Coturnix japonica: one gene and its partner. The protein of the gene in region 2 purifies or fractionates together with the protein of the main gene of each other region. This does not show direct contact. Links are inferred from orthologs where the notes say so. Each region holds a gene or a part of one and is shown on either strand. Other genes may lie near its edges.

Region 1 (16,385 bases), on a different chromosome or scaffold from region 2:
TGTTCTCTAGAATTTCCCCTGGAAGTTTTTTCATTTTGATCATCTGAATATAATAAAGGTTTAAACCAGAGATTTCTGGCACAGATTTTATACCTCAAGGAGTATCTGTGTTACAGTACAACTGATAGAAGTTGGCATAGATACATTTACTTCTTTACAGTTAAAGGGAGAAGGAAATGATAGGAGATGTAGTATGTGACATAATGGAGAATAATTCCCTTGTGATTTATCCTTTTCAGCTGTTATTGACCTGAGCTGTGCCACATCCAGTTCTTACTGTGGTTAGGAGGAGGTGCTATGTCACAGAACTACATTTCATCATTTTTTGGAATCTAACTCAATCCAGATATTAAGGACATTGACTTGGGTTTTGGTGAGTCCAGTAAAGCGCTGCAGGATTTTTACTATTACTGGAAATAGTGATTGCACAGAATGACTAATATTTCTAATGTTCTGATCAGTGCATATTTAATTGTTTGAGAATGGTGAAATATATTGCTTTGGATACCGTTATCGTACCAGCAGGGAGGTGGGGCTCAATGATCTCTAGAGGCCTCTTCCAACACCTACAATTCTGTGATACTGACAGATTATCCTTTGTAGAGTGGTTGCTCTACTTTATTTTGGAGGGACTTTCTAATGGAGGGGATTTTATGGGTTTGAACTGAGAAAGCTAGGGCTAAAGGATAATATTGTAAAAAAAATTGCCAAATGGGAAGAAGACTAACAGGTCACTTTGCTTTCCAAAATCATCTATCATTGTTAGTCTTCTTTCTATGTGTAGAAATTGGGTTGTTAAGGAGAAAAGGCTGTAATTTCAGATGAGTTTAGGCTCCTTTGTGCTTAAAGATCAACAGATCTTTAAGACAATGCAGGATCAGAATCTTCACCTCTCCAACTCTCCCAGCTTTTGTTTAGTAATATATGTTTAGTAATATATGTAGGTTGCTCTGAAAGGGAGGGGAAATGCTGTGACTAATGGACAGCTAAGATCGAAAAATGCTCTATAAAGTTTAGCAGGTATGAGTGAGAAGTTGGGAAGAAAGAGGAATAAGATGTATACTTCAGCTAACAGCTGTAAAGCAATTTCAGATGGTTAATGTGCTCTATCTCTTCTGTTCTGCTCTAGAGTAAGATAGAATGACTCAGATCAAAATGAATCTGAGCACGAATTAAGAAGTAGGAAAGTATAACTTTATGTCATTTCTTAAAAATGACGTATCTGAAAGGGCCCATAATTTTTACTAAATTATTTACAGAAATGCAATGGGATGCATACAACATTCTCGATATTGTGTATTGATTCTATATTCTCACTCTCTATAATACAGTATAGGAAAAAATCCTCTCTAAACATTCAGTGGTAAAACTGGAGATTAGAGGAGGATATGTTGATGGGGATATTCATTTTGATCACAAATCTGTACTTAAACTGCAGTGGGTTTGCATTATATAGCCAGCAGATGTCTAAGCATGTGATTGGGGGAAAAACCTTAGCAGTTCTGATTAAATAAGGCTTTTGCATTCCAAGGTGGCTATATATGCCATACCCACCCCACACATTTTGCTGTGTACCTATCTGTAGCATGGGGCAATAGAAAAGAAGCCAATAGTTGCACTGTGCCTGTGGAGTTTGCATGGTGCTTTGTGAAAATGATGCACATACCTGATCTTGAATTCAATTTCACATTTGCTTGCTTGTATTAAGCTTTGTTTTGTATCCAGCTGTAAGCCAGAACTTAACTCCTTTCTTAATAATTGCGTAAACAAAATGGTCTTATAGCATGCTTGCTAGTGAGCAGTTTGAGAGACAGGAAGAAGGTATTGTACAGTGCTAATGGACTGTTGACAGAAGGCACAGTGTTGTCAGTTTAAAATCCATTACTGTAGTGTGCAGTTGGCCCCAAATGCCCCTTCATTCCCATTTATTTCATTGCAACTGGCACTGAGCAGCTCACTGGAGGCTTCCCTGCATTTCATGACTTTGAACCGCTGTAAGACAGTAAACCAACAGAAGGATGCACTGCTACGTCAGTGTTGTAGTAATTAAGATTGTTATATTGTCAAAAAGGAATCCGCCAGCAAATAGTGGGGAAAAAAGAAAAAAATAAGTAGTTGTAGGAGAATCTTTTAGTAGTTTAAGGTAGAGTATTACTGTCCCTCTGTAGTCGTTTATAATTAGATCTCTAATCCTAGCAGTAACTTTTCGTGGTGTTGTGGTCTAGTTTCAGAGTCATATCATTAATTTGACATGTTTTCCTACAGAAATGTACAACTGTTTTTATGGGCATGTTTAAATAGTGTAAGTTGACAGTGCTTAGAACTTAAATTCTTGAATATTTAATTGGCATTCAAATAGGTAGTTTTTTTTTTTTTTTTTTTTTTTTTTATATGAACATTACTGTAGCAATCCCTGGTTTTGATTTACGTAATTCTAGTGGGATACCTGAGTGTCCATGTATGCCATACATACACACATCCCCTCACTCAGCCCCTAACTCTTTGAATAACGAGGGGAAAATTGCTCCCTCTTCTAAGAGAGGAACACTTAGAGTGCTAATTTTATTTTTCCCTAATTGATATTGTTTATTCTTATGTAAGGGTATATTAGTATCGCTGTTATCGTTATTTTTATGAGGCATGTAACTGCAGGTTTTCCTTCGTGTTTTCGTGCTGTTAATATTTTTCTGCAGGGTGTGAACTTAGTGCCATCTTCTGGGAAAACTGAGCAAGTGCAGGGTTTTAATTTGTACTGAGTGTATATAGGCCGTAAGTCAGAGGACTCTCAATAAGTCTGGCAAGACTAAATGAAGTTTTAAGAAAGTTAATTGCAAAATCTATCTTCTGACTTCTGAAGGCATAATTTTGCAGCTATTGGGCCACAAATGCTGCTTCCTTAATGATTTCTCCTTGCAGATCTGCCCCACTTCTTCAGAAACTCTAGGCAAAATCTCATTCCAGATGGTTGCCTCTCTTTGTGATGCATCATTTTTCTATGTTTGATCTAACTGAAGATTTTAGATTTGAAGCTTTCAAAAATCTCTCTATTTCTTTTTTTTCCTTTCCCTTAACTGTAGCTGAATGCACAATTCTTAATTTCCTTTTCAAATCGTTTCAATGGGAAATGATTACATATCATGGTTAATTAACTCACAGTACTATTCCTAGTAGAGAAGAAGAAACAAATTGAAAACTGTGCTCTTTTCTGGTTGCGTTTATTTTCCCCCCCAGATTAAAGGGTAGGAAGAAGTTGGAACCCGATTTATCCGTCTTTTTTTTCTTTTCTTCTTCTTTTTTTTTTTTTTTAAATAAAGAAAACATTTCTAGTGTATCAGAAGCTGTGCTTGAAATTCTCATGTGAATAACCTAGTTTGTATCACTTTCCTAATGGCAGTGTTAAAAGTAAATAGTTTCAAAATCAAAAGATAGATAGGATTGGAATTTGAGCCCAAACATCAGGGACAAATGAAGGACTGAAAAACTGCTTCTTGAAGGGAGGAAAACAATCCTGGTTTAAAGCTCCAAGGAAGTTAGATTTTGTAATGTTTTGAAATCATTAGATAATTCCATGCAGTTTTGTTTTGTTTTTCTTATAGAAAGGAAAGTTAGAGATATTTAAACTACTAATATGATTGAAAAATTGTCTGAAAGTTTACTCCGTCCTTTATTCAATTTCAGTTGAATAAATTGAAAACCCGTCATAGAGCTGAACCTGTTGTTTTCCACTAACATACTCAACTGCTCATATTCATAATTCAACAGTATTCTGGATTGCCATTCCTGCTGTATTTTCTTCTAATATTTTTGTTATGCAATAGTAATAAACTATTGCCTTTTTGCATCGTTAATGTGCTGTCAATCTATATTGCAAAAAGAGGTTGTTTTCGGAGACTTGAATCATTTTCCTCAAATAGTTTATTAGAAGGTACTTAACATTTTTCTTTAGGGAATGGTTTAGTGGAATTCATAATTGTTGGCAATCTAAAGTATTTTGTGTTAGATTTTCCAGGCTCAAAAACAAGTTGATTGACTTAAAACAAATTGTCTACTTAAGCAACAAGTCAAAGCTTTCTGAGAAACTGCATGCCTCAGGCTTATTCGAAGCCATGCAGATGAGAGCTGATTAATGCCTCACACTGCAAAGCAGTGAAAGACCACAGAAGTGTGCTGCTTGTTTTCTTAGGTGAAAATGTGAGAATGGAAACTCCAGAAAAAGTGCCCAAAAGATAATGAGAATGATCTTAGTTGTAACTTTGAATATTAACCATGATGTAGGCCAGATGAAATTAAGAGAATAAAGGTCAAGCTTGTTTGATTTTCTTGTTAGCAAAGTAAGGTTTATTTTGTTTCTTACACAAGGTACAAAATAACTACATTTCAATAACCAATCGTGGACATAAGTCAACTGTTCGATATCTGCATGAAGAGAAGGCTGTATTTGGGCTTTGGTAAAGCTGCTTAGAAACAAGATAGAATTATTAGATAAATGTCAGAAATCCCCCACTGGATAAATTCTTCATTGAAAAGTATTCAATTGATTTTCTTAAAAAAAATCATATATATATATATATATATGCATATATATATATATATATAAGAAGTTGGATTTTAGGGGCAAGGTGAACTTAAAGATCTGAAATAAAAATGCTCACCACAGAAAGCATTGGCTAAACAGGAAAAATGTAGTAGAGAAGAGGAGGAAGGGACTAGAGAGAGAGAGAGAGATTTCAGACATAAAGACTGTTTCTAACGAATGATTTTTGATGCTTTAGAGTTGCAGTACAGTCAATGCTTCATAATACTGTGAAGAAATATGTTTTGGCAGAATGAGAAAGTCGATCTGTAATGGCAGGCCTACTTAGGGCAAACAGCAAAGCAAGGGAAATAATGAAAAATGACATCTAAGCCCATAGCAAATTGAGGAATGGGGGAAGAAATGGGTTTACAGATTGTGCTTAAAGAATCTGGTGCAAAACTACTCTGAAATTTGCAATACTAAAATGTTTTTGCCTGCAGTTAGCCCTCAGTAATAAACTGAGATATGTTTTTGTACAATTATACCAAGTTCTTAGGTGATGCTTTCCTTCCAGTGTTGTTTTTCATTAAAATATTTGTGGGAAATCACCAAGAAAAGCTGACTGAATAGTCAAAAAGCCTAATAGTTTAGATCAGATTAAATACAAGGTCTATATTATGGAATGCAGATGTCTAATATACATGATAAGGTTCCTTATTTAGCCTACAAAGCATGGTATTAAGAGCAAGCCTTTATCAAGTTTGACAAGACACCAAATCTAAAAGTGGGCAAAGAAAGAAAAATTAAGGAAAGCAAACAAACAAGAATCTGCCCTTTTGAACACAGAGTGCCAGCAGACTGTTATACATAAATTGTCTCACATCTGTTGCAGCTCCAGAAATTTCAGTGCTGAGGATGCATTTTTGTGTGAAGTTTGAACCTTCTATGATTCCTTAGATGTTGAATCTTTCTTTTATAAGCTGTTTTCCTCAGGGGTGCCTTATAGAGGTGCTTATAAAGTAAGAATCTTTATTTAGCAAATAAAAACCAAAAAGTCAACCATATATGTTGTTGCTATTTCTCCTAAGTTACGAATCCTGTTGTGTAGCTACAACTGTGTTTTCACTGCTTTCTGTATCATTAGGCATTTGCCACTGCCAGAGACTGGAGTGTATGAGCCAATCCAGCCTTTGTCCCATGACACAGGGAATAAACTGTAGTTACTATAATACCCTCTGTTGTGTGTAATAGAGAAAATATGATCATGCAAGACTGCTTAATAATGTATCCCATTCCCTCAAAAATTTAGCTGCAGAAACTGCTTAGTCATCCTAAGTTCAGAAAATAAATTTTGTAAAATACTGTTAGATATGGCTTTCAAAAGTCTATAACAGATAATAAAACTGTCAAAAGCTCTTTTTATTTTGGTGTGTACTAATAAAAGGAAGGGGAGGGAAGAAAACTGCTGGAAGCAGAAAGATTTTTTGATACAGCTTCTGGAAGTTTTTGTCATGTATCCACCTTGCCACCTGCATCCACATCCTACGCTGCAGCGTGAGATTGCTTTTTGCCTGGAACTGCTTTATTGCCTAGATTATTATCTCCAAACTTGCAGGGTTCTGCTCTCAGTTGTTTTACACTTTAGAAGGCTGTTTGTCTATCACAACCACATTGATGCCGTGGCGTTGAGAGGACAGAGACAGTTTTGACAGTAGTCATTTTTTCCTTATCTTACATGGCTTTACATCAGTAGTTGTATAAGAAAATGCCTAATACATTTTACCTTTTTAAACAGAGTGGGAAAGAAACAGGATAATCAGTAACTGAAAATGGAACAGTGAGAGACAGAAGCCAAAATACAGTGGCTTGAAGTAGAGGAAAAATACTGCTACCTGTCACTCTGTTCAGGTGAAGCATCAAAGCAGTGAATCATCTTGAATGGCTACAGAAATAGTTGTTTTGCCTATACTGGGTGACCTTGACATTGACCACTTTAGCTGTAGTGCTGTACTGAACCATATAGAGGAGAAACACATTCAGAATTCCTCACTGCTCATTTCCAAATTTTGAGTGATTATTGTCTGTGGAATAAACTGGTTAGATTATAATGATATTAGAGGAAATGAGTAGTAAATCACTTATGGCACACTTTCTAAGTCTATCACTTGATAATAACCTATGACACTTAGTTTCTGCCACCAAATCCTTCTGGCTGGCTTTCCCAGTCTAGACAACCCCAACTATGATTCCTTTCTACCTTTACCTTACCTTACACAGAATTTGTTGCTTCCTTCCAAGTTAGTGTCAGTTTATTTGTCATTATTATTTTAAAATTAATTAATTAATTAAATAATAATAAATGATTTGGTTTAATTTTCTCAACAGTTTTCAATAGATTCTTCACTTTTGGTGCCAGGGTGGTGATGTAAAATAGAATTTCTGTATGCCTGTAGATAATTATTTTAAATTGGTCAATCTCTTTACAGTATCCTTTTTTCTCCAGTGTTTACCGTATCTCTAAGGCTTTGAGATGCTCAGAAATGCTTTTGTGCTCTGATCCAGGGTGTGGTGTGGCAGGATGGTTCTCTGAAGGTGATCTGTCTGTGAATAGCTCCTTTCCATAGGTTAACGTTCACATGTAGAGCAAAAGTTGGAAGCCAGGCAACCAAGCAGGGGTTGCTAATTCCTCTTCATAGTTCTGTTTCAAATTATGGGGGCAAACTGTGGAAACCTGCACTGTGCTTAATTGAAAAAAAGGTTAATGGGAACCTCCTGTGCAGTTCCATGGATCGCCTCTTGGAGTTGGGCTGTAGGGGAAGATCACAAAAGTTCTGTGAGAGCTATTTATATGTTCCATAGAAGCCTGGAATCTTTCTTTAAGCCCTTGTCATCTGGTCTGTTTTTAATAGAAATTATGAAAAGTGTGATAGATCTTGTGTGTCTTTTCAAATCCCACGAAGTCCTGCCTATATACTAAAAGCAGCGTGACAGATATTCACAGCACTCCCACATTCCTCCCCTGCTACAATTAATTATTCAGTACCTTTCCACCCTCGCAACATGTGTTCTCTCCCCTTCTTAGCAAGCTGCAGATACCAAAATCTGTGCCAGCACAAATCTAAATCTGGGCCATCGTGTTCAAAGATTTCTGAGTCTTGAAGGACTAAGAAGGTAGCAGCAGCCTGCTGCGGTTGAGGCTCTTGGCTTAACATAGTTACAGAGAAGCAGACACAACAACTGCTGTGTTCAGCAACAAATGTGTTTATGGGTGGAACGTGAGAGCACCATGCATAGGTTGCTGTGGGACAGAAAGGGAAGTTATGACTGGTTTATCTTGCCAGAATTGCTATTTTGAGTTCTGATTTCTAATAATTTGTTTGTTGATCTAAGAGTTTTTGCTTTTACAATTGACGTTCTGAAGATTTATCGTTAGCAATTTAATTTCCCTTTTATTACTGTTTATAAATATTTGAGATATTTTACAAATGGATGTCCTTTGATTTAGCTATAATCTTTTTGACAGTGGCATACAGAGATTGCTAAACTCGGGAAAGCATTATCTTATAAGTAGTTTTTAGCATCAAGGAGTAAGTATTGTCTAATGTAATGTTAGAAAAAGCTATTTTAAATCATACAGATCGGAGGAGGAAAAAAGTCTTCTCTTTTGAATTTTTATAGACTATACGAGTAGTTACTGAATATCTCTGCTGCGTAGTAGTGAGATAATTGTGCAGTGCAGAGGGTTTACTTTACTATGCTTATGCAAAGTACTGGCTCTCTCCACAGGTTTTTAGAGGTGTGTTACATCAGGCAGTCATTCTTTTGCAAAGAATGAAAAGATATGAGTTTCATTCTTAAAATAAATGACTTGGGACTGAAACTCCAGCTGATGTGGAGACTGTGCTCAAAATAAAGTAAAAGAGAAATTTTTTGAATTATTTTATTTTCCATTAAAAGGAGAAAATTCAATTCAAATATCTATCTCAATTAAAAAAATATATAATTAAATATGGCATGAAAAAGCTTTAAAATCAAAACATTTAATTTGAAAATGCCAAGTGATTTTATTTTTCTCCTTTTGGACCTTTTGAAGGAGGTTATTATTTTTTTTTTAATTTATTTTTAAAATTTATGATTAATTTAAATTAGTAACATTTATTTCTTTCTGTAATTACTCATCTGAAAAATTTATGTTTCTCTCCAACTTTCAGTTTTGCAAAACTACGCAGGACTTAGAGCAGTGTCTATATTCCTAAAGCAAACTCTTGTTTAGCCTAGAAGCACTGTGTAACTGCTATATTAACTGTCGGAGATGATCTATAAATATTGTGTCAGTACTGTCAAAAGGCATTTGGAAAGAACGAAGTTTGGTCTTGTTTACTCTGCAGCATTTGTCTCTGTCTCTGCCTTCCCATCTCTTTGTTAATTCGTTCATTCATAAATATCGTTGCATGATATTTCTCTATTTTTTTGAGCATTTTGAACACTTGGATTTCTGTGCTAAATCTGTCATTCTCAGGATCATAAACAGTACAGTAATGGATTTAAAGTAGGAAATTGCTACATCTAGAACAACTTTGAAATTAAGTTCATTGGGAACTTTTCAACTTATCTAAATAATTCAAAACATACTGAGATTTTAAGAAATGGTGAGAATTACCATTAGTAATAAGTAGGGCTGTAAATGAGTAGACTACATTTGCATGTTCTCAACTGAGTGCGTGCCTAATGAGATACAAACATTAAGAGATTTAAGCTCTGAACAGCTATAAAAGCATTGCCATTTAATTGTAGAACAGATTCAGACTACAGAATTTCACTGCAGCCCAAACTTTTTATCCTTTTAAAGTGACTGCTAAGAGATGTGATTTCAGATTTTTTTTTCTTTCTGTTTAAATTGAGTTTATTACATACTGACAGATGTAGGAATAATTCTCAAAATGAAGGTGTTATCAAGCAACTAAAGAAGCCTCTCATACTGACTTCAGGTGTTAATGAATTACTGTTTAATTGAAGTGCGGAGTTGCAGAATATTCATTAATGCAAAAAAAAAACCCACCAAAAAACAAAAAACCAAACCCACGTCTGGTGCCACAAATTTGAAGTCATCTAAATCGTATTGATATGATATGGCTTTTCAGGAACTCGTATTTCTATGCATTTGATATATTATATTAGCAAATAAAAAAGAAAAAACAAGGAGACAAACATTTTCAGATATTAAACATGCTGTTATCATAAGTTAGGATAATTATCTGTGATTCAAGTTTGATATGAACAAAATCATTTTATTTTTCATTGTGTTGAATATGGAGTGAGAGATTTCTCTTGAACAACGCTGTACTCAACTGTAATACAAGCAATGTAGGACAAGATACTGTGTGAAAGATAAGTATGAAAGCACAGTGAGATGTAATAGGAGTATTATTATTATTCATTGTGGGATTAATTAGTTTGTATGGTTTTTTTTTCTATTTTTTTTTTTCTGTGTCATATCTATTGAGTAAAGTCTGTCTTGAGCTTTGGTTTGTATATTTGAGTATTGTGAAGTTGTTGGTGCTGTTTTGTATATCTCAATAAAGTTATTTTTTCTGTTGAAGATACTTTTTGTTGAATTCAGTTCTTTCTGTTGAATCTCCTTTGCTTGCATCTGACCTTTATGTTGATTTTGCTTCATTTTTCATTTACCATGCTGTTCAGTTTTTGGATGCCAGGAGAACAAAGGTTTGTCTACTATTTGCCGTCTTTTTTTTTTTTTTTTTTTTTATTTTTTTCTTTTTTTTCCCCCAAAATTCAATATTGCTTACTGTGTTTTTCCTGTTTGTTCATTAGAGATACAGTAATCCTGTTTACTAAAACATTCATGGCTTTAGTTGCCAAAAGAAAAAAACAAAACCAATCAAATGCTCCCCCCTCACTGCCTACCAAGATCCCTTCAGAGTTACAGGGAGTGCTTTGATTGACTTCATAACTAATCTGCTGAGCACCATGCAGGGCAGAACCACCTGTGGTCTATGAAGTAATTTAGAAAACATGGAATACTGAGTCTTTCAACTTTATAGGCACATATTGACTGTACAAATGGACGTGTCACTGCCTTGTGTTTGGGTCTGTTGTTTTTCTTTGTTCTTCATTTTATCTGTAGTTGACACTGTGTGTGTTGTCATCTATTTTCTCTAGAAGCACTTGAAGGATGTCATTATAAACACTGTCACATGCATTTGTGATTTTTCTTTTTTAAGGTCATTTAGTATACTTTCATTATTAATGATTTTTTATAAAAGCATACAACGAAAGTTTAATCAAAGTCAAATTATACATTCAGATTCTAAATCTATTTATTTATTTATTTTTGGTGTTGTAGCATCTGCAAATGACAATCCAGGCACTTCAAGATGAGCTTAGAACCCAGAGAGATCTTAATCATCTTCTGCAGCAAGAAAGTGGAAACCGAGGTGCTGAGCATTTTACGATTGAGCTAACAGAGGAGAATTTTCGAAGACTTCAAGCAGAACATGATAGGCAAGCTAAAGAGCTTTTCCTGTTAAGAAAAACTCTAGAAGAAATGGAGCTAAGGATTGAAACACAAAAACAAACACTAAATGCTAGAGATGAATCAATAAAAAAGCTTCTGGAAATGTTGCAGAGTAAAGGTTTGCCCTCAAAAGGAATGGAAGATGACAATGAGAGAACTCGAAGGATGGCAGAAGCTGAATCTCAGGTTAATCATTTAGAAGTGATATTAGACCAGAAGGAGAAGGAAAACATACATCTTAGAGAGGTAAGGAAAACTCATTATTTATTTCTTTAAAAGATATTGCTAATGTATTTGCTGCAGGTCTGGAAATAAGTGTCTGAGTGTTTTCCTTTTCTGCTTTCATTGTTTCCTAGAAGAAGATGCACCTATTTAAAATCAAAATTAATAAACAAGTGGACTGAGAAATTATGGAAAAAAAGTAATTGTGCCATTTGGGGCTTGTTGTCTTTGACATTGTTGCTTTGCATGCAATCTAGATTTCTTGTATTTTGACAAATCCATGTTTAGCAAATCAAGATGATTAGAATTATTGAAGAGACACTTAGCACCTTTTATTGCTATAAAATGACTTGCCACGAGTACATAGGGAACTTTGCTTTTATACCTCTTGTGTTTCAAATAAGTGTTTTCAAACATTTTGCCTACTGTACTCAGACTTTATCTAATTTATTTTCTGCTGGGGTACACAACAGAACATCACTGTATTTAGATGCTGGCCCCCAGCCCACCTGCATCAGCTGCCCACATTACTTGCTGATTAATTTTGAAACTAGATTTGGGAGAAGTGCAACTGAAAGAAAATCTGCCCACTTTTCAAGCCCGTGTGACCTTCTTCATCCTAGCAGCCTCTGAAGCTGGTGACAGGGAAATGAGACCGTGTGTCTTCCTCAGAGAGAGACCTTGTTGCTTCCCACTGAGAAAGGTGACAACTGCAGAGGTAGAGTACAAGCTACCCACAGTGAGGAGAATCAGGACATCCAGTTCTATTTCCTTAGAAATTCAGGAGCAGTGTAGTCTGGTTGAACTACTAGTCTGGTAAAAGCACTGATTTGCCTGATAAGTCAAAGCATGAATAAAATCAGTACTAGAACACAGAAGACTATTATTGGTTCTTGAATAAAGAATAGCTATTTACATCTATAGAACTTTTTTTCCCCCGTGGATGAACTGTTTAAGGTTAAAGCTATTTTGTTAGTAAAAAGGAATTCTTAAAACCCAGTGATTTATTTTAGATTTCAGATTAAAAGGAAGAAAAAGAAATACGTATTGAGGCCTCAGTTGTACCAGAAGCACTGCTCAAGCTTGGGAACACTGGAAAATTTGCAGGGCACAAACATACATTTGAAGTTTTTTAGTGAAGATGTGAATCCTTGTGAATCTTTTCTCAGGCAGAACATTCATTAAAAAGCGATGCCACCACTTAATGGAATCAGTGGATTCTGAAAGAAACTGCATAAGTGAATTAATGATACTATATTATAAAAAGGGTTGTGGAAGAAGTGCTTCAAATGTATTTCTGGAATTAAATCTGCTGGTTTCAGAGAAATACAGTTTGTTTCAAGTGTGGATGACCTGCTGTCAACTGTTTTTTGTTCTATGATTGTGCCTTACTTATAGCATCATTATTACTTATATTTTTGATTACTAATTCAGGCACATCTTGGACATGAATAAAGCAGAAATTTGAAGAAGGTTTTTTAATTTGCAGAGTAGTCAAGCTCTGGAATGGCCTTCTAAGAGCAGTTAAAGAAATAGGACTAAATAGAGCATGGAAAGTGGACAAGATATCTCATAGTTCCCACTGGGTTGCTCTCAGGAACCAGGAAAAAAATTGTTTCTCTCTGAATTTTTATTGAGGATAAAGTAATTATCTTTCCTCTAGAGCAAACGTTCAGAGGGGCTTGCTGGAGTTTCTGCTTGTGGCATGCTGATACGCCTTTGAGACTTATCAAGGTTTAAAATTTACAGTTTGCTGGTCAGAATCTCTGTGTCAGCTTTGGGGAACTATCTACTGATTTGGGGATTTTGGCTAAGAATTTCCAAAGCTTTGTGTGAAATTCTCTCTCCAGCTTTGCTCCTGAGGCAGGCTGTAGTTATTGATTTTTATTTATTTGCCTTTTGCTGTATTGCGACTGGGAGTTGTCTGCACAATTTAAAGGAATATCAGATATTCAGTATCTAGTTTTATCCATTTGTTAAAAAACAGAATATTCCACTTTTGATTTTTGTGTAGTGCAGTGAGTCTTTGTTTTCTGCTGTGTTTACTAGAATTGCTGTTAATGCATGCAGTCTCTATCCTTCAGAGTACAGTTTCTGAGCCTGATAAATTAGGAATTACTGTGCTGAATCTTTTGCAGTAGTGTCCTTAGTGGTTTCCATTTTTCAACAAGAGGTTTCAGGTTTTCAACCTGGCTGTAAATGACCATATTTTCCCTCTACTTCCCTGAGAATGGTTTGACAGTGAATCAAAACTTGGAAGCTTTTTCAATCCCACTGAGGAATGATTAAGAATTTAGTATATGTCCAGCACCAAATTTTGTTCATGTTTACCTGTCTTTAACAAAATATATTTTGGAGAATTTTGACTAAAATATTCTGATTTCTGTATTTTTTACAGGTTACAGTGTTGAGCTCGTGTTGAGTATATTTCTGAAAAACTACTACATTGTCCTGTGTAACTTAATGTTTGATCAGATCCTGAAAATTAATTTTTAATTAGCTTTGCCATTATTGCTTTTACAAGTTGCTGTTATTACTGCATGTGAAGTATGCACGTTACCAGAAACCAATATTCTACTGTCTTGATTCAAAATAACATGAAGTTATCCAAGATTTAAGTGGAAAAATAGGGGGAAAAAAACAAACTTTGTTTCTTTTTCTTTCCCATGAATAGCTGTAGAAGTTAACGTAGTTGCCTCACAAAATGTGGAATTTCTCCAGACTATAGATTATATTTCTTGGAGATACTGGAGAGAAGAGAGACAGAAATAGCTAGTGTAATAGAGGCATAGGAATATACCTCTGGAATATAAAACAGTCGATTTTGGGGTGGTTTGGGGATGTTAACCACTTGCTCCTCATAGACCATACCTTTCTGCAGCGTACGCTCTACTGCACTGTCAGACTTTGTTTCACAGTGGTGAGCTTCTGATTGTGTTTACTCAAGTTCTCTTTGAGAGCACTAGGAATGGCAAATCTGAACCTTATTACACAGGAGGAAAGTTCAGGTGAAGTTGGAATCCTGCTCTTCTCTTACAGGAATCACAAAGAATGTCTGTGTTGGTGAGGTTCATTAAAACACACGTACTGGGGAAAAAAGCTATGCAAAAAAAATGAATGCATTCCTTTCTGCATATTAAGGAATTTGTTATACAGGCAATACGTTTTCACAAGAATAGCTAGATTCCATGACTTGTGCTAGTTATAGCAAAACTTTCGTTAGTTGCTTATCACAAAGCAAAAGACAATAATCTGATTGAATAGCATGAAGTACATGCTTGCGTTTTAGCTTCAGTTTTGAAGATACAGCCTGCTAAGGAGAGATTATGGAGCTCCTCTCCATGGTTTCTGAGGGCATCTGTGTAGTCTGTGCTCACTCTCCCTTCATTGAGTTAGACTGAATCTTTTGCCTGTAAGAAATTTAGCTCATTGAATGCCCAGAAATATTTTTATTAGCCTTTTCCTATGATAGCTGGATTTTATTGTTATTTTATGAGAGAAAATGATATACTATATGTTTGCTAAGGAAATTGTGTTCTTCAGGTTGCAAAGTAGCCTTTGCGAATACACAAATGTAAGTAGAGGGCCATTCTTGGGCCTGGGAATTTCCCTGTTTGTATGTTAACAGGTGAAAAGGAAATCTGTCTTGAAGCCATGATGTCATACCATTGTGTTCTTATGTTCAGAAATAAGTATAATGTATATCACTAAACATACATTCCTGTCGTTAAAAATGCCTGCCTTTTACTACTCACATTGATTATCAAATATATTTTCCAGGATTTGAGATAAACATTTTTTTTCTCTATAGTTTTGGGAGTACTGAAGGTAATCTGGTGATTTTATCATGTGGAAATCTAGCACAGATGTTTGGTATTACTTTTTTTTAAACATAGTGACCACACATTATTTACCCTAAGTACCATTAAGTATTTTTTTATTATTGCTATTAAAAACTTGCCTTAGGCAAAGTCCCACTAAATCTCTAGTAAAGTCAAATGTTAAAATTCCAGCAAGTATTTTATTATATATACATACGCATAGATTACACATGCCTTCTCTATATAACATACAAATTCACTAAAATGGAATCTGAGATCATATAGGATTTTATATATACATTTTAACTCTTATCTTGCATGTATTCTTAAAATAACATTGTACGTGGTTTAAAGCTATGGTCTTTTCTTTCTACACTTAGGAAGAAGAACACAGCTTTATTATAATTTAAAGTGCACTTTTAAGCTTTCAAGGGTTTTTTAAAACTTGCTCTATCTTTGAACTCAGCTTGGTCAAATAATGATGGTTGATGATAGGATTTGAACTGCCATCATGAATTACTTATTGCATGTTTTTAAAGTTATTAATGGAGTAAAGTTCTTTCTTCCACTGTGAGTAGAACAGATGCCTTGCAGACTTTTGGTGTTTACTGTAAATGTCTTACACTGGAGCCAGTAGTAATTTACTAAGGAAATGCTTTACCGACACCAAACATTTCTTCCCTGTAGTTAGTTATGCAGATTAACAACCATTCTAGTCTGAGTGTTTTTATTAGGTTCATTAGTGCCGCTTTCCTTTTATTTCTCCTGATTCAGCACAAAATATTAAACTAATCAGTAGTTATAAAGACAATCATTTCCTATCACAATATTGATATGTGTTTTAAGGTGACTTCTTAGGTATACAAAAGGACTTGGCAGTCACACCAGGCAAGAAAAAGTAGGCAGAAACTGATTATGCTCTAGAGAACAAATACTATTCCTAAGGTAGCCCGTTTGGGTTTTGCTATTGCCCATAATATTATCACTGGGGCGCTTGGTTGTTGCAGTAGTTCTTAAAAATCCAATAGAAAGCTTTTTACTTACATATGAGTTTTTTTCAGTTAGGACAGGTTTTACTCTCCACAACAACATCACCACTAGTTTGGAATCTAGAATGAGAAAAGCATGAGTTTGAAATGAATGGTGATGTTTGAGAAGCAATTAAAGAAATTGTTCTAGAAAGTGAGAAAAAGCATGAAACACAAAATTGAGAAGAGTGTGAACACATTTTCCAGAACTTGAAAACTTTGTAAGTACTTAGATCCAAATACTATTTTTTCCATAAGTCATC
Region 2 (16,385 bases):
ATCTGAAAGGATTGGTCTCTTCTCACTGGCAACAGATGACAGGACGAGGGGAAGTGGCCTCAAGTTGCACCAGGGAAGGTTTAGGTTGGATATCAGGAAAAACATCTTTACAGAAAGGGCTATTAAGCACTGGAATAGGCTGCACAGGCCACCATTGGGTTACCATTGCTGAATGTGTTTCAAAACCGTTTGGATGTGGTGCTTGGGTCATGATTTAGCAGAGGGTTGTTAGTTAGGTTAGTATGGTTGGGTCATGGTTGGACTTGATGATCTTTAAGGTCTTTTCCAACCTGAGCTATTCTACAATTCTATGACTGTTTACTGCACTATTCATTATCCTATAAAAATGCTTAAATTACTTCATATAAGATTCAGTCACTGCCTGAATAGCATTTCCAAACCTACAATGAATCACATGGAAAATATCAGTAAGAGGTAAGTCTTAGAAAGATATGATTAATCTCAGGGCTGCGCTTGAATGGTTATTGGAAGCATACATCAAGTTCAAATAACTATTAAATGGAAATACAATTCTGTTTTTTAAAAAATGCTGAACAGAAGAAAAGTAAACATACCAGTGAGAGATTGTACAAACTTGAAACCAACCAGTTTCACTCACTTGTGATGCCTACCTCTGTGATGGCACATTTGGTAAACGTGAACGGGTCCTGCCCTGATCATCACCACGGTGAGGAGATACAGATCGTGAACGATGATGCGTTGTTCTTTGCTGTTCTGGCACAGTTAGTGTTGTAGATCTACTTTCTCTAGTGCTAGATCTATAACCTACTGATAAGAGGGCAATAAAAGGAAATTAGAGAACAACAACGTGGATTTTGAATGAACTCAGATGGTTAGTCTTTTCAGGAACACACAACTAAATGCTTATGCAACTGTAGGTAGTCATTCAGCTGTTGTATGTCCTGACGCATCGTGCAGTCAGGACAAAATACTAAGATTACCTTTTAATTCCTATATGTGCAGAGGCAGAGAAACTGAGATGACTTTCAGTATGCATTGGCAAGTGTGAGGGGGAGAATTGATAACCTTTTCTATCTTGGGGCAGAGTACATAAAGTAATTTGTATTTCAAAATTGTCATAGAGTAACACATACTTGAAATGAATCTAAATAATGTAGGTTTACCTCATCTAGCAAATGGAGAAGGCATGCCTGTGTGTTATAGCAGATACTCACACAGGACTGCTCAAAAATAAAGCCTCTTTCTGACCTTTATCAGTTAAACACAAAAATGCTCTGCCACTCAACTTGGTCAAAGCTACCTACTTTCAAAAATAACAAGCATTTATACTCTACTATATATAAGCTTGAGTGTCATAACCACTGCAGACCACATTTTCCAAATACTACCAATGAGATGCAATATTTTTCATAATCTCTTTTTGTTTAGGACTTTAAAAATGTACTATCATTCTGCTATTAACTGCTGATATTCCTGTTCTTTTTTTCTAAATAATAGGCTACTTGTTCATATTTTGAACCTCACCCTAAAAATCCTGTATCTAATGAAGATCAGCATGATGAACTGCTTCCTAAAGGTGCTTGCTACCTTTCCAGAATATCCTAAGCGAATTTGGTCAGAGTTGCTCCTATCTAGACATTTAGATGAGAAAAAAATCTCCACGAATTTTAGGGAGAAAATAGGGAAAGGTCATCCCTATAGTCACCCTTACCTGAATTCACAAACCAAAAAAAAAAAATCATTTTGCTGTTTCTATTGCATTTATCTAGTACTATATACCTGTACTATGCTTTTTTTTTTTTTTAGCTAAAAAAGTAGCCTGTATCAAAAATCTTCTCCCCATACAGGTAAAGACCATCATCTAAACACAACATCTTCAACTGGATAAATGAAACAGGTTGCAGTTTTTGAGCCTCTTTCTCTACTGTTTCAAGGTTGTTGTCTTGTCTTAGGTTTTTTTAATTATTATTATTATTTTACATAATTTGAATATCATGCGGTTCTTTTCTAATGTTTTACCAGATTGATTTAAGCCTCTTAAAAGTGCAGTCTGTATACGAAGCCACTTAATCACAATGGGTTAGCGAGCACTGATTGCAAAAGGGGCATGACCCTGGAAAGTATGGACTCCAAGGTTCATAATATTTGTTACAAAGAAAGACTCCAAAGTCACATTGATTTTGATGCACTGTGATGCTGGAGTATCTTATCTGCTGAAAACATTTTTCAGACTCATGTAATAAAACCAGAAATATCAGGACACCCCCAATGTAAGTACAAGGACTGGGTGAAAACTTTGAAGCGAAACAGTGACTCACTCAGGATTTCATTGGAGACTGCCTCATTTTCTGTAATAAGATTGGTTCAGAAAACATCTAGTATTTTTGTCAGAGGAAGACAACTGATTACATATGACAAAAACTCTTGTGTTCCCTTTCCCAGTATAATTAAACTTGAGTTTTATGCACGAGAATATATTTTCTGGAAAAAAAATATTTTGTATAAAATTGTATCCTCTCTAACACAAGAAACGCTAGTTTACATTTATTAACATTAAAATCAAAGAAACCCAAAGCTTCTTTCTAAGCTTGAGTAACTATTCTGAAATGTGCTTCAAGTTTTCAATCATAAATTTCAGTTTAAAGTGTGCTTCCAGAGTATTTCTGATCCATCTAAAAAAACAATACCTAAGATTATCCTGTGCACTTAAACACCTGGCATATGAAGAAGCTATCAGACTGTATATTCTTCATAGCTGTGCTATTGGCTACGGTATTAAAACCTTGTGCATTGGGTGAACACAAAGCTTATAGAAGAGACAGGGCAACAGTAAATATTTCTTGTACGTATTACTTCTTTTTCAGTTGGTAAAACTGCATCCGTAGTTCCACAATGACCATGACAGTGACAGCAACAGTAACATCTCCTTGTATCTTCAAAAACAAAGGTTCTGTGCTCTCCAGAGTGAGCAGGGAATTTTTTCTTTTGCATGGGAGCAGCAACACAGCAGATGGCAGTTTATGGAGAAGAAGTTTCTCAGGTGGTCATGGGAAACTGTCGGGTGTGACATGAAATGGAAACTGTATGGATGATGAAAATGTTTCTGATATCTAAAGCACTAACTTCCTTCATAAAAAAAGACAATACAGCCAATGACAAGGTGTTATGATGTCACCCTGCTGATTCAGGAACATCGAGTGCAATGCAACCATTTATTCAGATAATTTTAGACTGAAGAATAAATTCTTCTGGAGCATTACTCAAAAGCAGTACAGTTCATTAAAAATATCCTCTTGTATACTGCCAACTCAGTATGAGCCACTAATGCCTCAGATCACGTTTTATTTTGCTTTTTTAAATCCTTTACTGACCCATTTTACTGACTCAGTAATGGTGTGGTCACATTTGGAATACTGGGCTCTACCATAGAAGACAGACAAAAAGTTAAAGTAGTCTGAGTCCAGAGCAGGACCACAAAACTAATTAAAAGCCTGGAGCATTGTACATCTGTGGAGAGGCAGAGAGCATTCAAATAATATTCATGAAAACAGATATAGGCATACCACAAAAATAAATTGCGTTAAGCAGAGCTTCAACTTAAGTTACTTTAAAGCTGTGAGTATAAGCACCTTTTGTAAACAGTTCTGTGAACTGATGAATGAACCAACTAAAAAAAATCTAGTGGTATATGGCATTACAATATACTGCAATTTTCTGTAGTGATGTCTTGAGAAAGTCTGAGCCCATGTATTCTTCAAAGCCACACTTGAGCACTTGCTGTCCTAATAGCTTTCTGTAAGAACTGTAGATACTCAGGGGTTGACCCAGAGAAGAGTCCAGTGTACTCAGATAAATGTTCTTGAATGTTCCTGGATAGATGGAAATGGTTTATTTCAAATGAATGCTCTAAAAAGTTGGCAGCTTAAAGTCCCAGTTCTAAGCATGTATATTGAGAGGTAAGAAAGCATACATAGATATGCCACATTTTTAAAACCTGTTATATACTTTTAGGTTAAAGGTTCTTTCTCTCAGCTTCTGTAAATAACTATATTAATCACTTGATTAAATCAAATACAAATTTTCCTCTTAGTTGCTCATATGCAATCATATGAAAGTAAGGGAAGAGCCCTAACACATAAAAGGAAGCAAAATTTGGATCTATCTGTGGTAATAAAATGCACGATGTTTTTTTAATGAATATATAATGAATAAATTATCAGATTATTTTAAACTCCAATCAGGAAGACCGAGAATTTTCTAACCCCTCCCCATGATTTAATTCAGTAATTGCCACCAGGAACATCGAAGGAAAAATTATTTAGTACTGCCAATGAAACGGTGACTCTTAGGGTAGTTTGGGATAATTTTGAGATCTATTCATCTGACTCACAACAACAGTCAAATAGAAATAGAAAAATATGGTATCCAAAGTACAAAAGGATGATAAATTAAAGTCTAACCATGGTACAAACTAAATTTATGAACATTTAGGGTAATGGTAGTTCACGAAGACTCAAGGAAACTATAGAAGGTACAGCCATGCTACATGCATCTTAATCTACAGCCATGCATTCTCGAAGTCTACAGAATACTCTTTTACATCTAAGTTTCAAGCAAAAAGCAAAATAAAAACATGCTTGCAATAAACACTGAAACCCTAATTAATGTTGTAAAACAATTTTTTAAATTAAATAAGTATTTTTAATAATGCTTGGAACGTTATGTAGTAAACAATTTGAACCATCAAGTTGTTCTTATATGAAGAATGGAATGCAAAGGAAATACCAATGAATTAACCTTTTAATTCACCATATTTTAGAAGGACAAGAACCATGGAATGAACAGGAAAACTTGTTTTTCCCACTACGCATTCTCTAAAATCAACATCCTCAATATTCTGAAATGTTATAATGAAAATAAATAAATAAGCAAGCAAGAAAGAAGAAGAAAGCAGGACCATGCTGTTCACCCACGCACCTGGAGGAACAACTCCAATACCATCATCAACATCATAATCTGAGATGTCACTATCACTGATAGGCCGAGATCCTGCACAACAGTAAGGTAAACAAATACCTGAACATCTGGCCATGTTATAAAAAGTAAAAATAGGTTCATTTGTAACACTAAAATTGAAAAGGTGATTTTATGACTAAACAGTACAAGTGGAGAATTAAACTGCACTGCTGATTTGGTGATGTTTCATCAAACAGCTGAGCCAATCCAAAAGGCTCACAGATGCTGCAGCCTCCTCTGCCTTTCTTCCCTCAGTACTCTCCTATGAGGTCAGTTTAGCTCACTAAACAAGCAAAAAGATTTCTTTACTTCTCAAATAAATTAAAAAAAAAAGGGTACTTTTGTTCTATTTCAGTGAGTTGAGCAAGTTGAATCAGCTGAACAGGAAAGCAGAGGTGGGAGCATATGGTGGGAAAGGAGAAGAGGAAGCAGCATTGACAGCCTTTTAAAAAGTTCAAATATCTCATGAAAACTAACCTTTAGTTTGCTATCTCTATACATATTCTCAGGCAGTAATTACAGCAGTATCACACTTCTATAATTCATTGTGAATATGCCCCAGTTTCTTACGCATTGGCTGGAATTAATGACTTTTATGTTTAAAATAAAAAAAAATAAAAATCAGAATAGTTTGAAAGCATATTAAAAATAATATCTTGCATCCTTCCTTTTTAAAATAAATCGTCTACTAAGTTAAATGAACAGAGAAGCTACAATAGTCAAATATTTCAACACATTCATTATTTTTTGTGTGAATCATACAATCGTGGAATCAGAATCTTCAGAACTGTACCTCCCAAAGCACACAGTTTCTCTTTGCTGCTTAAATTCACTCTTCCATCTGATTATATGGTATGCATATATAAAAGCACATAGAAAGCTGAAACTAATCTTAAATGAATTGTTTTTACCCTTCAAAAAGCTTCAAAGCCTTTTTTTTTTTTAATAAAAAGCTTTTAATTATTACAAAGTATCCAATAAATGAGGACTTCATTTTTCCTTTTGAATGGAGATTTATGAAAACAAATACTTGACCAATTTTATTTTGCTAGTGAAAAATCAATCGATTCAAATAGGTTTCATTTACTTGAAAGTGTGAAATGCTGGCATGTGCAAAGTCACATCTCTTTGTGCCATACATTTTTATTACACTAACTATGAAATAGCAATTTTTTCTTGTATGTGAAAACTAAATATCAGTACAACATACCCAGGATTTCAAATTTAAAATTTTAAAAAAGGTGAATGGATTGGACCTACTTTGTAATTTTTTGCTAGAGCTTTCTCCACCATGAACATGTCTTCTTGGCATGAAAGGTGATGGCTGAGGCAGAGGTAGTGAAGATTCATCATGTGTTTGTAGCTTATACCAATGTGGTTCATCATCTAAAAGTGCTGTTTCCAGCTCTATAAGAATCTAGGAAAAAAAATGTTCATATTTTAATTTAAATTTTAATATGCAATTTTAACACATGTTCAAAAATAAGTATCAAACTCAGGATAAATGTGATTGTATGCATCACCTCTCCAAGAAATTCACTCTCTTCTTCTTGTACTCTTGGCTGATCCCATACTGTTATTTCAAGCATTCGTTCTCTAAAATCTCTACGATGTACATGCGAGTAGAGAAAAGTTTGGTTCCATTTTGGTTCTAGACTTTTCTTTACCGTTTTGGTCCTCCTTTTACTTTTATCACTGAAACATAAATATTTATTGTAAACTGTAGAAATAAATCACAAAAAGCCATAAACTCATCAGCACTTATTGGTTTCATTTTTCCTGATATTATAATGCCTTAAAAGAGAAAAGTATTTGCTGTGCAGTGGATTGCATTCATCCAAATGTTTGGAGAGTTATTTTGATACTGAATTGAATATCTCTGGTGCAATTTTTTTCTCATAATTACGCTAAAAAAAACCAAAAAACAAAAACAAACAAACAAACAAAAAAAAAATATAAAAGAATTCTGTAATTCAAAAACATTTACTTAAAATTGATTAAATGAATTACAAAATAATTTTCTCAACCGATGTACTACCTCCTGTCTGGAAGAAAATACATTTTTACATAAGGATTCCTTGGCCGTCCATCTACTCTTGGTGGCAAATCTGTTGCTTGTAGAACATTCACTATTAACTGATGTCCCACCTTGTCATACCAGAGTTTCACCTACATGAAACAAGTTACCAGAAAAAAACAACATTTAAAATGAATTAAAAAATTAGGATTTTCATACTGCGTCACATTAAACACAAAGTAGAAGTAATATTCATTTTCCCAAGAAACAATGAGATACATATATTTGCAAATCTATGAATAAAATGTGTTGGCCTATACCGAAGACTTCCATATTCACCTAGATGAATAAAATGATGGTACCCGATTATACTTACATTGCTTACTGTATTCCCTGGTACATGTACGTTCATTCAAGCCAGCATTGTCTTAGTTTTGCTCTTCTGAATCTACTCTTAAATAGGAAGCTAAACTGCAGCTAAACTTCAGGCATGTTCAAAATCTACCTACTCTCATCTGTCACATTAAACAGTTCTAAGGGAAAATAGAAAATACAGCTAAATTCTTTCCTAATAGGATCATAACATAGAATTTTTGAGTCTGCTTCATACTTAGAAATTAATATAATGAATATAAAAATGAAAGAACATATAATAACAAAGTCTAAGTATTCACTGTGTATTTAATAAATACAGTTTCAATTAGCATGACAGAAAATTCCAGGAGGTGATGTATATCTAAATTAAACTGTATTTCTCTACAATATAAGTTAACATATCTCTTTAAGTGTTCCTGTAAAGAAGGTAGAGTGGTACAGTGCTTGTTATCTGCAAGTACAAAAGAGTACAGCATGAAAAATTGGAAGGCGTGTTCATGGACTCCTCAATGTAAATTTCTGCACGTTCTCACGTATTAAGACAACTCCTTACCTCAGCTGTGATTACAGCGAATGTTTACTTACACATTTGAAAGGTGTTAAGAATTTACCAACAGCCATTTCCTTTGACTTCCCAATGGATCTTGGAAAGGCAGAGGGCTGAGGGACCAACACCTGATAAACATTCATTATTAACATAGGAAAAATAAAATCTGCTCACAGAAAGCTGCCCCGGTAGGACTTGTGGTGCATCCCTTAGAGCGCCAGGGCTGGTTGGAGAAATAACAGAAATAGAAGGCCTTTCCATCTTCTGAGATTCAAAAGAACTTGAACCTAAAAACATGCAAGAAACACATGAACTTTCCACCTGAGATTTTAAAGCAAATTTGGATAATTTATGAATTGTTTTTAATTTGAACCATATAAAGCTTGTCTTTATGTATAGTACTGATGTGTTAGTGTACAGAAATATTTTAAGGTTATGCAAATAGGGTGGCGAAAAAGACAGTCTAGACACTCTTAACCCGGATTAAACCTGACATTTTTTCTTTTACTCTAATTAACATATTACAAAGTGTTCCTTATCTATCATTGACACACCATGCCTTGAATAAAATATCCCCATCGTACATAGTGCACAGCTGAAAATTTTAATGAGTAAACTCACTGGTGTTTTTTTGTTTGTTCGTTTTGGTTTTGTTTTGTTTTTTGTTTGTTTCTTTCCTATGGTAGTCTCTGAAATGTGATTTTAACTTTTAAGAATTCAGAGGCAAGAAGATATGCAAGACAGGCATCTGGCACAGAGGACACTCCTGTCTATGCAGGAGATCAGCAGTTCTCTGTCAGTGAAGCAGAGCTCACATGAGCAAGGACAAGCTCATGAAAGGCAAGGGCAGCATAGCACTTTCACAAAGAGTGTACTCACTGGACTCTAATGGGGGATGAGAACTCTCAGGAATCCGAGGAATATCACTAAAAAACATGAACATATACAAAGTAATTAGGAATGAGGAAGATGCAAGAAATACGTTTCTGAGAACATTTTTAGAAACATGTTTCTTATTTTGTTCTAATGGATTATGCAGAAAGAAGGGGAAATTTCATCGTTTTTCACTGGGTTCCATGAAAACCATAACAATGGAAACTATTACTTCCTTCAAACGTAGAAGCTAGAAGACAAAACAATACAAGTGCTATGATGTAAATATTATGGATGGATTCTACTATTTTCACAATCCTGAGAGGTTTTATGAAGGGAAGGAGGTAAATGGCAGTATAGCTACCGTCACTCAACTATTCTTTGGAGGAAACATTTAAAAACTAAACAAAAACACAACACAGAGATTAACTCACTAGTAATCTTTATATAAACGTCTCAAGGAATTCACAGAATGAAACTGATGAAAATGTCTTATGATAAGAAAAAAAAAAAGAAAGAAAAAACAAGTAACATTAGAAACGTCAAACTACAAAAGAATAATACATTTCTTCATAGGCTAAAAAAGTATCACAGCACATTACAATTGGGTGTGGAATTTTTTCAACATTGAAACATCCAACACACACACAAACAAAATCAAACCAGTTACATCCATACATATCTATCAACATTTTGACATCAAGTTCAAAATCAAAAATCACAATTACTCTTCCATCATAGCCTTGATAATAATAGTTCCTTGTGTCCTGTTCTCAGCAGTCATTGAAAATACATTGCAAGGGCAAGATATGACTGTTTTTGTACAAATATTAGAAAAGTAGAGCAAGAAAATGGAAATAAAGCTCTTCAGCAGTTCACTTGAAACTTGTTTTTTCTGCAAATACTAATTCAGAATTTAAACAAAAATAGTACTTTTGAAGGACATTTAAAGTCTAAAAGTGAGCATTTTAAAGGTCGTCAGGTATTTTTCCATTCAGTGAAACGCTACCAAATGATTTAGAAGTCAATAAAACTAAGACCTCTAGACATATATAAATGCTACTTACAACAAAGAAACAGACAAGTTAGAAAATGAATGTAATAGCTCCCAATCAACAAGTCTTAGATTTATTTTTCAAGATCTGCATTGTAAATCTCTGGTGCACAAGATTTAACAAAACCCAATTCAGCTCCCAACTGATGTTTTGCATTAGCCTGCATCTCAGCACTAACCAAGAAAGTTCTTGACTTTGTGAGTATGGAATTTCCTCAAACTCATGGAAAAAAAACTGCATTACTTGCTCTTGACATGGCATAATACTCCTACACAATCAAATACATGATATGGTGCTCAACAGGGCTGCTGTGTGGACTTCATAGCATGTTCTCTCTTCAGTTTCCAAGGAAATATTCATCAGTCTGAAATACTTATTTACTTTATTCTAACTGATTTTTCTGTTCAATATAACATTAAGTCTGTGATACTCTCTTAATACAAAATTTAGGATATTTAAAGAGGGCTTATAGGTGCAAGAATCATTTCAACATGGAAAGTTCATCCTACATACCTGGGTGGATGGAGAAAGACACCAACTACAAAAAAAAAATCTTCAGAAGAAATAGGAGAAATGATTTTAACTAACTAAAGCCAGACTAGCTAAAGTAAATGGTTTATAAAACAAAACAAAACAAAAAACCAACCAATTTGCAGATTACATTAATTGTATTACTCTAGTAACTCCCTGAAATCTAGCACTGTCTGATTTGTTACGGAGGCTCTCCTCACAAGGACCTAGAGGACAGTAACAAAGAGGAGCAGAATCACACTGGAGAGACGTCATTTTTGGTAATAATATTTGTGGAAATCTAAGCAAATATAATTTGTATACAACAAGGAAAACAAGAGACAAGTAAAGAAAATGTTTGTTTTACCTGCACTATCCCATATGAGCTCACCCGAACACAAAAGAGACAGTTACCATGCCAGACTGCTTCTCAAACAGTGTGCTGCCAAAGTCTACACTGCCTTAAATTAATGGCCTCTACCACTGTATGCATATTCATAGCTCATTTTTCCCCCTTCATATTTAGATGCCAACCCATTAAATCTAATTTTAAATGGTTTCTTACCTACCCTGTGTCTGCAATCACAAGTATTAATGTCAATTAGTTTCTATCAAGTTTTTATGGTACTACTGTGGTTATACCATTTGCTATGCCTTTATTTGCTAATTGTATTGAATTTTTCACATTTTTCTCTAATAAACACCCTACAATTATCCATTACTCAAAATTACATTTACTGATAGACACAGAAACACAAATTTACAAGACTAAGCAAACTGGGTAGACATCAATTTTGTAATTTGCAGTCGTCTAATTTGTGGACTTACAGTCCTCCTATTATTTACTTTAGCAAAACAATATTAAATTTAGGCTTTTTAGACCTAATATACTAGGACCTTTTAAAAAAAGACCATTAGATGTGCCAGTACATTGCTTGCATTATTAATATTGAGAGATGAAAACACTTAAATTATGCAGAAGAAATATCATTTTTCGGGAACCTACTCCCTCACAGGAATTTTAGGTGTAATGGATTACCAATTACTGCTTTATCAAGCAAATGGAAATTTGCTGAATCAGAATCTAAAGTAGACACAAATCTTGGTTATACTAGATACACTGGATTAAGCAAAATCCACTGTCATGAATTTGAAATGAACACACAGTTGGAATAACAAGGTGAGGAGAAGCCAGAAAGAAAAAAAAAAGAAATTTAGCCAAAGCAAATCATCCACAAATTCAAACAAACAAACAAGAAAATCACGTGCAGGATGCGGTGTTCTTGGCTTATTTTTTTCTTTGTTGTTAACTAACATTAGGATTTCCTTAGTTGTACAATGCCAGGGTGAGATTTTTTTTATTTTTTTTTTTTTTGTGGAATTTAGACGAGAGAGAGGTAAATCCCAATCTGATATAGAACAACAGGTCTAATTTTAATTAGAAATTAATCTAATTTCTACTGGAAAAATGAGAGACCGTTAAACATCAAAAGACACATTCTTCAGTCCCTCTTGGGATATTTATTTGCTCTCCACAGGAAAATAACAAACAAACAAACAAACAAACAAATAAATAAATAAATAAATAAATAAATAAATAAATAAATGGAAAAATATAATCCAACACAGTTCTACGAGGGTAAAATTATTACAGCATGTCAACAATTCCTTCTCCATTTGTCTCAAAATTATAATCTGTCTTCTGAATTTGCTGTCTGGAAAGAAATATGAATGGGTCATACAAAGCAAAACATTACATTTTATTGGCCCTATTTCCACTTCATTAGTGCAAGAGTCACTGTTCAGATTTAGAAGCAGTCTTTGTTTTTGAATGCCCTCTATTTTCTCGGCCTCAGTTCAACAGTTGTGGTATTTTCCCTGGATTTTTTTTCAAGAGGTCATTAGCGGAATTTGGCCACATTGTATTTCACCTTTTTGAAGTCTCTACATTTATAGAATTCATAAACAATAATTAGTCATGTTAAGAATCAAAATAAAATCTAAGGATAAATGACATTTACAAATACATTGATATCTGAAGCTTGCTATGTAAAAAACTGATACAGCAGTTTCTGCTTCATATCAGTTGTACAGATCAATTTTCTTTCAATTGAGAAATGAAGTATATGTCCAGTCTGATACTTCTTTTCTCCTGATAAAAACATAAAAAATAAATTTTCAAAAACCCACTTATGGCATTTTAATTTAAATCATAAAGACGATGGACTGAATTTCAATTTTCAATCTGGGTTGTCTCTTAATTTACCTGCGACTAAAAAACGTCAAATAAGGTTTCTACTTCCATACTGTTTCACTCTGGATGTTAACTTGAGTCCTAAACAACCACTATTTTTTCATCAAGGTCTAATTTGCCACTAAGATTAACAACAAATGTTAATTTCATCGAAATACTTCCAAATAATTCTAATAGTGATTGTCATTAAAAAGGAAGAGTTCACTTGCAAGATATATCTACATTAGCACAGTGTGGGCAAAACCAAACATCAAAAGCTGATATGAAATAAAGATAAAAGAAGAATGTGTTAGTCAGAAGGAAAATGAATAGTGCTTTCTGTTTCTCAAAATAAAAACTTGCCATAATTGAGATAGATAAAACTTATAATTAGGATGAAATCCAGCTCATCCAAAATGAAAGAATCCTGCATTTATAAATGACAAAACAGCTCATCATCCCCCTACAGGTTACTGGTACTTAAGAGACGTACAATGAGTATGTGATCTCTGCAAAAACTAAAAACTACAGATAGATTTAAACCTTTCACTTTTTTTTTTTTTTTTTTTTTTGAACTAGTCAAGATTCACTTTTTATTGTAAACCATGTGACTCATCTCTGCAATTTAACTGTCAATTTACCACATGATTGAAATTCCATCCTGTAAGACCACTCAAAACAGTCCCAATAGAATCATTTTTGGGGAAGGAGTGTAAAATATCACTGTAAAACTATTGTGACAAATGCAAGGCCAACAACACTCATTTTATCAATTCAAACAGATTTTATGATACTTCCAAGCCTTATTTCAGAAATCAAGAATGCAAGAATTCTTACTATTAAATGCCAAGCTGGGATTTATAACAGATAAACATTATAAAAATAAAAATAAAAATCATTGTTTTTGATGAAACAAACTACATTAGCTAATGTGAAGGTATTTTTGTTTAAACTTTTATTCTGACAGCATCTTTAAAAGACAAATTTCAGTTAAAGCAGTCATATTTTTTTTTCTCTCTCTCTAAAGAAAAATTCGTTAAATTCCTACTAGCATTGTCATAATTCAAGTCCAGCAGTGCTCAATGCTTGCTTGTGCTTCCTAAGAAATCATTTATACAGATAAATCACCGTAAAGGCCCAAGATCATAACAGGCGATGAAGAAATTGTAATGTATGGAATATCAACAATGAAAAGTAGAACTAATAACTGCACTTAAGAAGCAAATAGTTAGCCTTACCCAATAGGCCTTGAAACAATAATTTCAACTTGAGGTTCTGACTTTGATTCTAAAATAATGTTGTAAACTTCTTCATTTGTAGCTCCAGGCAAGGGTTTACCATTCCATTCTAGAACTTCATCTCCTTGAATTTAAAGAGAATTTTAATTCATTTCAATATTCTTGTGCGAAGAAGAACAAAACATTTATGAAACTTATATAAATACATTACATTGCTCAAAATAAATTTAAAAATTATGTTGAAAACCAGAAAATGGCTCCTGAGACACTATTAAGGCTCATTTATATAGTTTTATAGTTTCGTGCGGGTTGGAAGGGACCTTAGAGATCGAGTCCAGCCCCCGGGATTCATAGAACGTAGCTACAAATTCTACACAAAAGCATTCAAATGAAATAACAAAAGTCTTTTTAAGAATCCTTTAACAGTAACTTCAATTGACAGTAATAAATGTTGAGAATAAATAAGAGAATTAATCATTAAAAAATAAAAAAAAAAAATAAATGGAAACATAAATACCTAATTTTTAACCTTAAACATTTGTCACTTAAAGGTTAAGGTTAAAACCTTAACCTTGTCACTTCTAGTACACTGCATTGCACTTTAATACTACTATGAAAAGACAAAAGAATTTAATTATAGTTTCTTAATAAAGATCTGTATATTCAATTGAACCGCAGGAACTGCAGTAAACTGCAGGAAATCTTATACTCTCACATCCCATCCTATGTAATAGCCAGAACTTTGCAGCCATTATCTGATACCATAAATAATATCCTTATTTTCTTTCTTAGCACCAATTCTGCGTTTATCAGATTAAGTTGGGAACAACTATAGAGCTACTGGCTTGCCCCTGTATGAGGAGTCCTAACTCAAATGGTAAAACCCAGGCTTGTTCATAAATCAAAGCAAAACTATCCAAACTAAACTCAGAACTACAAAAATATGCAGCAGCAACTTCATTTTAAGATCAACGATTGTCATTCTTTTTTCCCAAACAGCCTATATTTTAGTGTTTTCAGAGAAGACTCCACAAAAGATCCCAGTAGCTTTGAAAGCATTTTGTCATTCTTTAGAACTGAAGAGATTGTTAATGAAAGACTTAAATGTCGTCTGAGGTAAGTTTCATTTTCTACTATGTTATTTAGATGGAACCAATTTAAACACTGCATACTCATTACAGAATATATTTTCTTGGAATGAAAAATAAGTAAATCCAGATATTGCTTGCAAAATTAATTTAAAAGTTCATACAACTCAATGAAAACACAGTTAATTTCTTCTGAACTTCTCATTCTGTTTAAGTGCTAGCAACTCATAAATAACATGATTTTTTTTTCCCCTCTAAAACAAAATTTGTAGATAATTTGCTTAATTTCCAAAAGCATCACAGGCTTTCAAAGGAACAAGGTCTGGTCAACTTTGCAATAGTTGCAACTTCACAATAAAAACAATACGGAAAGATGATAGATGTGCAACACTAAAAAGTACATGAATGAAAAGTACTTTACATAGGAATTACTTGGTCACATACTCAAAACATGGATGCATGCAATAGCTAGTTTGAGACAGCTCTAGCAGCAACATGCTCTAGCAGGCCCTAGAGATTGGTTGGCAACAGATTGGGCTGGCAATCTCAAGAGGTCCATCCTGTGATCCTGTGACCCATTGCAACAAATTATGACGTCTTAAGCTCCTTGCACTTAAATCTCACTGTAGTTGCCAAAAATTCTAAGTCACTCAGGCAAGGATCTGTTAGACACTTCACACTTAGATACTTAGGATAAACCAAGATATCTGCACAAAGCTGGCTAGTAGATCCTACAGGATAGGAATCACTTCTGCAAGTTTACACTAGGATACCAATTTTAATGTGTACTGCATTCTCTCCACACTTATTGATGCAGAGACATAGGATTTTCTGACTTAGACTGCCAAGCTCTGAGTTATTTTCTACTGAATTCTAAAATAGTATCTCAGATTGGAAAACACTTTTGGAAGTCACTAGTCCCAGCCTTTGTTCAAAGTAGGGCCAAATTCAAGGGATAGAGCTGGCTGCTAATGGACTTGAGCAGCTGAAATTTGAATATCTCCAAGGAAACATGTGCAGAAAGCTTATCCATGCAAGCTTCTCCAGGATCTCCAGGATCTATCCCCAAGGAGAACCAGAGTTTTCACAACTTGAACCTCTTCCCCAACAGTATGTGTATCTTCATGTGATCACTGTGCACCCCTGAGAACACAGTGTGCTCAGGGCTCCCTGTAGAATCTCTCAGTAGCCTAGTAGAAACAGGAATTAGATCCCCTAATATTCTTTTCTTCTCCTGCAGAAGCTTTTCTGCCTAGTTTTTTTTTCTTTTCTCGCTTGTTTACCCCTAGTGCTTATTGTCACCTAAGATTGTTCTGCTACTCATGCAAGACTTTGGCAAAATTTATGAGGTTTGTACAATTACTCAGAAGTTTATGAACTAGCCAAATTTTGAAAGATTTGTGAGAGAGTTGAAAAAAATGTGCTTTCCTGACTCATTTGTAGTGTTTGCT

The links.
Region 1: the proteins of RIMS1 (region 2) and ERC2 purify together in Homo sapiens (affinity purification with western blotting; 3 studies listed by BioGRID and IntAct, with this or other methods). This does not show direct contact. The link is inferred for Coturnix japonica from reciprocal best matches to the Homo sapiens genes RIMS1 and ERC2.

The regions. Positions count from the first base shown.
Region 1 is NC_029527.1:6,062,268-6,078,652, reverse strand, and holds part of ERC2 (ERC protein 2), read left to right. Parts: intron 1-10,216; coding exon 10,217-10,240; intron 10,241-10,880; coding exon 10,881-11,297; intron 11,298-16,385. UniProt on the Homo sapiens protein: Thought to be involved in the organization of the cytomatrix at the nerve terminals active zone (CAZ) which regulates neurotransmitter release. Seems to act together with BSN. May recruit liprin-alpha proteins to the CAZ.
Region 2 is NC_029518.1:74,861,038-74,877,422, forward strand, and holds part of RIMS1 (regulating synaptic membrane exocytosis protein 1), read right to left. Parts: intron 13,971-16,385; coding exon 13,847-13,970; intron 8,864-13,846; coding exon 8,817-8,863; intron 8,225-8,816; coding exon 8,112-8,224; intron 7,168-8,111; coding exon 7,037-7,167; intron 6,694-7,036; coding exon 6,522-6,693; intron 6,416-6,521; coding exon 6,259-6,415; intron 5,032-6,258; coding exon 4,960-5,031; intron 790-4,959; coding exon 633-789; intron 1-632. UniProt on the Homo sapiens protein: Rab effector involved in exocytosis. May act as scaffold protein that regulates neurotransmitter release at the active zone.